2 linked regions of the Caenorhabditis elegans genome follow. The protein of the gene in region 1 purifies or fractionates together with the protein of each later gene. This does not show direct contact. Each region holds a gene or a part of one and is shown in the gene's direction. Other genes may lie near its edges.

Region 1 (3,924 bases):
TGCATCCACTGTGAGTTTTTGTCAGTTGGAAATATTTGTAAAAAATATATCTAAAAAAAGAATATTGAAGAAATACTGGAAAAGTTGAGTAAAAATCGATTTTTCTGAATAAAAAACTTTTTTTTTCACAAAAAACAGCCTTATCAAATGGGAATAATATGCTTTAAAACAGTTTTTAATGAAAAAAACCATTTTTTCCGGTAAACTTTGAAAAGTTGATTAAAAATTAATAAATTGAGCATAAATTTTTAAAAAAAATGAGCATAAATTTTGAAAATCTCAAAAAATTGCTATTTTTTCCGAGAAAATGCATTTTTGACCGAAATTTTGGTACTTTTTTTGCAAAAAATATCAATTCTTTCGTTGAAAATAATTTATTCGAAAATTTGAATGAAAATTAAACTTTTTCACTAAAAAAAACTATATTTTTTGAATTTCGTAAATTTTTTAAAAAAATCGATTTTATTATTTTTTACTAACCAACTAATTTTTCCAACAAAAAAAATTTAATTTTCGATTTTTTCTGTAAAATTCCCAAAAATAATTGATTTTTTTTGAGAAAAATTTCAAAAATTCGGATTTTTATTCGAAAAATTAAAAAAAAAAGTTTTATTCAGAGCTTCGAATGAAATTTCTGAAATTTGTATTCCAGTTACCTCAACAAATTTTTAAAAATTTATATTTTTAATTTTTTGGCAATTTTTCAAAACTTTTTAAAACTCAAAAATATCCAAATTTTCAGTCGGAAAAAAATTGAAAATTTTATTTTTTTTTTGGAAATTTTTGAATTTTTATTCAGAATAAAGTCATAAATTCCCCCGAAATTTGAAAGTGAAAAAAATCAAAAAAAAAAAAATTAGATTTCGAATTTAAGAAATAAAAAAATTTCACTGAAAAACTATGGTTTTTGAAATAAATAAAGCACTATTTCTGAACAAGTTTTGAAAATTCAAAAAAAAATCGATTTTTACTAGCCAACTAATTTTTCCAAAAAAAAAATCTAATTTTTGATTTTTTTTTCTTTGAAATTCCCAAAAAAAAGTCAATTTTAAGTTTTATCCGGAAATTATATTTTTAATTTGTTTTTCTTCAAATTTGCAAAACTTTTTGAAACTCAAAAAATTGAAAATTGTTTTTTTTTTTGGAAACTTTTTAAAAAATTTTTATTCAGAATAAATTAAATTCTCCCGAAATTTAGTGAAAAAAAACTGTAGATTTCGAATTTAAATTAAATTTTAAAAAAATCGGTAGAATTCGAAAAAAAACAAATGTTTCCGATTTTTTCCAAAAAAAAATCTAATATTTGATTTTTTTTTTTGAAATTCCCAAAAAAGTCAATTTTAAGTTTTTGAGAAAAAATTGAAAAAAAATTTTATTCGGAAATTATATTTTTAATTTTTTTTTGGCAATTTTTCGAAACTTTTTGAAACACAAAAATAGCCAAGATTTCAGTCGGAAAAAATTGAAAAATGAAATTTTTTTTGGAAACTTTTTTAAATTTTAATTTAGAATCAATTAAATTCCCCCAAAATTTAGTGAAAAAATCACCAAAAAAACTATCAATTCCAAATTTTCAGTCGGAATTCTACCAAGTTTCACACACAAAGGCCGAATACATGGAGAGAGGACCATCGATTTGTCGTTACAATCCAGTTTTCGGAGCTCTTACTTAATTTTTTTTCTCCATTTTTTTGTATTTTTTCCCTATATATTTTCTCCAATTTTAATCCCTTCTCCACGTTTTTTTCTCTCTAATTCCCGAAATTTTTGAACACACATTTCACTTTTTTTCATCTTATTCTGGGCGATTCGTGTATGTACTTATTATTTTTATTTCCAAAAATTACCAATTTTTTAAAACCTTTTGAACGAAAAAATTCTCGAAGAAATTTGATTCCTGCGCCCCCAATTTTTTTTCTTAAATTGTGTTTTTTTGCATGACTATTGCTTTAATTTATTCCCCCGTTATATATAAATTCCCTTATTTTTGTAGTCTTTTTGGAGAAAAATTCCGCTCGATTTGAAAAAGTAGAACTCTTTTGTGATATTTTTGAATTTAAAAAAAAACTAGAAAAATTTCAGACGCTGATTTTCAGATGGATCTTCCAATTGTCTACTACGATGAGACGGAATGGGCGAAGACGCATACGGGAAATAAAGTGAATAAGAAGCATGCAATTGCTGGAACACAGAATATTTTAATTGCTGGAAAAGTGAGAATTTTTGGAAATTTTTAGAAAAAATTCAGTGTTTTCCAAGTATTTTGAAAAAAAAAAGAAATTAAAAAAATAGCGCAATATAATTTTTCTAGATTTTTGGAATAAGCTATACAAATTTTTTGGCAAATTCGGCAATTTGCCGGAATTTAAAATTTCTGGCATATTTGCCAAACCGGCAATTTGGAAAAAATTTAAATTTTCGGCAAATCGGCAAATTGGCAATTTACCAAAACTTAAAATTACCAACAGTTTGGCGAAAATTAAAATTTCTTGAAAATTCGGTAAACCGGCTGAAGATGAAAATTCCGGCAAATCAGTAATTTTCCGAAAATGAAAATTTCCGGCAAATCGGCAAGTGGGCCGGAATTGAGCATTTTAGGAATATTCGGCAAACCGGCAAATATGCCAAATATTCAAACTTCCGGCACACTGGCAATTTGCCAAAAATTAAAATTTCCGTAAATTTGCGAGAAAAAAAAATTTCCGGCAATTTTCCAAAAATTAAAATTTCCGACAGACCGGCAATTTTCCGAAAATGAAAATTTCCGGCAAACTTGACAAACCGGCAATTTGCCGGAATTTAAAAATTCCGGCAAATAGGCAATTTGACAAAAATTACAATTTTCGGCAAATCGGCAATTTTCCAAAAATGAAAGTATTCGGCAAACCGGCAATTTTCGAAAAATTGAAATTTTCCGGCAAATAAGCAATTTGTCAAAAATTGAAATTTTCGGCAAACGACAAACCGGCAATTTGTAAAAATTTAAAATTTCCGGCAAACCGGCAATTTCCCAAAAATTCTAATTTTTGGCAAATTCGGTAAACTGTCAAGTTGCCAAAATCTAAAATTTCCGGCAAATTCGGCAAACCGGCAATTTTGGTACACCGGCAATCTGCCAAAAATAAATAGCCGCCCACCCCTGATTTGAAACATCAAAAAAAGTGAAATTTTGCAGACAATAATCGAGGAAGGAGTGACAATTCGCGGTGATCTGGCGACAGTTAAAATTGGAAAATATTGTGTTCTAAAGTCTCGATGTAACATCCGTCCATGCATGAAAATATTCAGCAAAAAACCAACAATGTGCAACGTTATGATTGGTGATTATGTATTTATTGAAGAAGAATGTGTCGTCAATGCCGCTCAAATCTACGCATTTGTACATCTTGGAGCTCGTGCGGTGCTCGGAAATGGTTGTGTGATTCGAGAATGTTCGAGGGTTCTTCCGGATACTGTAGTTCCAGCGGACGCACTTTTTCCACCGTACTCAACGATCGGCGGGAATCCTGGTCAGTATGCCGTCGAAAAAGCGAAAATTTGAAATTTTCCTAATTTTTTTGAGAGCCGGAAAATCGAAAAACTGGAAAAAAAACGTTTTTAAAAGCACAAAAATTGCCTGTGATGATTGAAAAATTGGAATTTTGACGGAAAATCGAAAATTCCTAATTTTTCGAACTTTTTAAGTAGGAAAAATCGAAAAAACTGGAAAAATTGAGAAATTTCTTTCAAAAAACATTTTTAAAAAAACTGAAATTATTGAAAAATTGGAATTTTGGCGAAAAATCGAAAATTATCGATTTTTCTTATTTTTCTTATTTTTCTGAGCTCCCTAATTTTCAAAAAATGGTAGAATCGCTGTGTACTCCCCGAGGAGAAGTTTTAATTTTATTCTACAGTAAATTTTCAGTTTTTGACTCGATTTTT
Region 2 (3,924 bases), on another chromosome or scaffold:
AAAAATTTCCGAGTTAAGCATCGCTGAATTTTACCAGTGCAGTCAACTTTTTTAGGACTTCATAACATTGTTCGAGGAATTTCCATAAAGGTTGGATACGTACCGAAACGAGTCCAGCGGATCCCTCAGCGATGAGCTCTTCGACTGTCTTTCCTGCAAGTCTGGAGACAACGAGCTTGGCGGTCTCAGCATCAGCATCAACTCCGACAGCGCTCAAGATGTTCTTGAGGTCGTCAACCTGAAAGAACACAATTGAAATAAATGTTAAAATGTTTCAATTCCTTTTAAGAATTACCTTTGGGTTGGCATTTCCTCCGAGGACGGCGAGCAAGTAAGCCGAAACGTAACGCATATTACCTGCAAAACCATAACTTTAATTTTAAATATTTCCAGGAAAATCTGGCGATAAAAATCGAAAATTGAGTATTTGCAGATAGTTTCAGCATCATGATATGTCAAGTGAAGCGCAAATTTTTTCTGAATCGATTCAAGATAATTTTGTGAAGAAAAACGCGGAAATCGATGAGAAAAATCATAGGAAAAATCGCAAAAAAAGAAAAAATTCACTTGACCGAGAGGCTGGCCTACTGTCGAGGCGCGCGTGGCGAGACCCACTCGTCGCGAAATGTCGTGTCCCTTTAAACAGCCAACATTTGCAATGCATTGAAATTGCAGATTTTATATTATTTTCGAGGTTTTAAACTACTTTTCTTTAATTTTTCCGTATTAAACTGAGTCTGAATCAATATTTAGTGATAAATTTCAGCAAAGGCACCTTGTTTGGTTGCAGAAACAGCAAAACTGGTGAGTTTTCTTGCTGATAAATATTTCAAAAATGAAAATTCATTTCATTGTTTTTTCAGTCGGCAATCTTCAACTTCCAAAGTCTTATCTCAGTTATCCTTCTTCTCATTTGCACGTGTGCCTACATCAGAGCCTTTGCACCGAGAATAATCGATAGAAACAAGGAAGGGTGAGTGTTTTTTTTTTGTTGAAGACGCAGACTTTTCGTGGAGAAATCGAACATTCAAAGCATTTTCAGTCTCCTCGGCGTTTTCTGGAAGTGTGCTCGAATCGGTGAACGTCTCAGTCCGTGGGTATCGATCAGTTGCTTTTGCATGGCATTTGTTGTGCTGTTCCTTTAAAATAATGGCTATCCGCATGACTCCATCATCGAAACGATTCGATGAAAAAACAAACGAAATGAGGCGCCGTCCGCCTGTAAAACCAAGCAGTAATCCTAATCATATTTATATCACAAGGTGATTAATTTTTATCAATTTAGTTGTACAATTTCTCATTAAATAGTGTTTTTTTGCAGAAAAACCAACGTCGAATCACAATCAAAATCCACCGAGGAGATGTTGAATAACGCATTCGATGAAGTTTTCATCCATGGAATGGGAGCATCTATCAATAAAGCTCTAGTTTTTGCGATGGAAGTTGAGAGAAGATTCGGTGGAAGTGTCAAGTCTGATATTCAAACGTCTACTGTACAATGTACAGATGATATTGTATCACTTCTGGACCTTGATCAAAGCGAGACACGTCATCGTTCTGTTTCTGCCGTGCATGTTCATCTTTATCGTGTTGCCTCGTAAATCTTCATTCCACTGAATATATATTACACATAATTTTGTCAATGGGTCTTATTTTTTTGCCTACATGAATTAATTATTTTTTCCTTTGATTTTTTAGTTGTTCTTGGTTACTCTTTCCTATTATTTTCTACATTTTCAATCACCGAGTCGCCAAATTTTTCGATTTTTGCTCAAAAATTGCGGAATATTACGCGGAATCCGGTCTCGACACGACATTTTTTTTGTCAAATGTGAAAAGGTGTGCGCCTTCAAAAAGTACTGTAGGTTCAAACTTTCGTTGCTACGGAAAAATTTATTTATTTAATTATTTAAAAAAAAAACTAAAATTTTTAACAAAATCAGCATCAAAATTTTTAAAAATACAGTAATCTTCAAAGGCGCGCACCTGTTTACATTTATTAAAAATTTGTCGTGTCGAGACCTGATACAGTAAGCGAAATTTCGCGTCTGAATAATAAATTAATTTAAGATGTTCGGTAAAACATTACTACGAAGGATAGCCTGCTCGAATCTCAATTTAAAATCAAGAAAACTGTCCGGAAAGCCACGTTTAGCAATTGTGGGCTCCGGTCCCGCAGGTAATAATAGAACAATTTTCTGGAAATTTCGTAAACTATTTCCAAAAAAATTAAATTTAGGAATGTTCGCGTGCAACGGATTGCTTAGAAAAAGTAATTTCTCGGTAGATGTATTCGAAAATTCTCCAGTTCCATTTGGATTAGTTCGGTATGGTGTGGCTCCAGATCATCAGGAAGTGAGATTTATTCGAGAAAAAATTAAGAAAATCGGTTCTTTTGGCCACAATATTCAATTAAAAACGGAAAAATCAGGAAAAAATCTTCTCCGAATTGCATATTGGTGCCAAAATACCATTTTAACTAAAAATTATTGTGAAAATTTCAAAATTTCAGGTAAAAAACGTGATAAACACATTTGATGCAATGTTCGAAAAGAATCGTGAACGGCTGAAACTATTCTGCAATGTGAAGTAATTATTTAATTTCTCAATTATTGGAGGACTGTGTCGAGTTACGCAGCTCGTGTACTCCACGAGGAGAAGAATTTTACAGTTTTTATTTGCGAAATTCTTATAGAAAGTTTATTTTTAAAAAGTCAAACAAAAGTCAAAAAATTAAAGGAAAATTTTAAAGCCAAATTTATTAGATTTTTAAAATCTTATTCATATTTTTCAGTTCTTGCAATTAATCCAGATAAAAAACAATTAAATCCCACTTAAAATTGCATGTTTTCCTCAAATTTAGAAGCATGAAGGTTCGAAAATCTTTTTTTTTTTTTTTGAAAAAATCTCACAAAAAACCAAAATTTCCATATGAAAAGTTGGGAAAAATGTTTAAAAATCGACCTTTAGTTTCCAAAACTTGAAAATTCTTTAAAAAATTCAGTCTTCTCCTCGAGGAGTACACGAGCCGCGTAAATCGACACGTGGGGGGTTGTCAAGAGTGTCGGTTTTCGATTGTTTCAACAACAAACAACGGAAAATGCTCGATTTTTGAAAAATTGATTTTTTCGATTTTTCGATATTTCGAAAAAAAAATTTCGATTTTTAAAAACGTACACTACTTGTTAGCTTAAAACTTTGGACATTTTTCTTCTTTTTAGAGTAAATTTTAATATTTTTTCTCATCAATTTAAACGAAATTAGATTTTTAAAAAAATCATATTTTATGTTCAATTTTTCTAATTTTCTCAGAAAATTGTTCGTTTTTCGATTTTTAAAAATTCGAAATATCGAAAAAATATTTTTGAGACCCCAGGAAAACAGTATTCACATAAACTTGTAAAACTTTTTGTAAATCCTGTTTCTTGGGGTCTCAATTTTTCGATTTTCCCTCAAAAACTTCAAAAAATCGAAAAACGACACTCTTGGTGGTCGTGGAAGAGGTTTTCCACGGCCATTCTTGCATTTTCAAATACGAAAAATCATGCAATTTTTCAAATTTCATACTTTTTTTTCAGCATCGGACGAGACATTACATTTGATGAGTTAACACGTGGCTATGATGCAGTCCTTCTGGCATATGGATCATATAAAACACGAACTTTAGATATTCCTGGAAGTGATGCCTCAAATGTAATATCTGGATCAGAATTTGTTGGATGGTATAATGGAGTTCCAAATGCATCAACACCAGATCTTACAACATCAAATGTTGTAATTGTTGGAAATGGAAATGTTGCTCTTGATTGTGCACGTGTACTTTCAACAGCTTCTTCTGGATTATTAAGGATCAGTGATATTCCTGGAGATCGATTGAATGTTCTTGAAGGAGCTAATGTTAAAGATATCAAGATTTTAGGACGA

What was found.
Region 2: the proteins of dnc-5 (region 1) and Y62E10A.6 fractionate together in Caenorhabditis elegans (co-fractionation; one large-scale study listed by BioGRID). This does not show direct contact.

The regions. Positions count from the first base shown.
Region 1 is NC_003279.8:2,881,613-2,885,536, reverse strand, and holds the start of dnc-5 (Dynactin subunit 5), read left to right. Parts: upstream 1-2,082; 5' UTR 2,083-2,096; coding exon 2,097-2,213; intron 2,214-3,175; coding exon 3,176-3,509; intron 3,510-3,924. Other genes in the region: arx-1 (Actin-related protein 3), read left to right, coding at 1,578-1,673.
Region 2 is NC_003282.8:13,369,929-13,373,852, forward strand, and holds the start of Y62E10A.6 (NADPH:adrenodoxin oxidoreductase, mitochondrial), read left to right. Parts: upstream 1-2,070; coding exon 2,071-2,179; intron 2,180-2,239; coding exon 2,240-2,355; intron 2,356-2,512; coding exon 2,513-2,589; intron 2,590-3,578; coding exon 3,579-3,924. Other genes in the region: rplp-2.2 (Large ribosomal subunit protein P2), read right to left, coding at 104-238, 296-352; popl-7 (Protein kish), read left to right, coding at 781-804, 864-973, 1,043-1,145; Y62E10A.24 (Ribonuclease P protein subunit p20), read left to right, coding at 1,150-1,262, 1,322-1,601.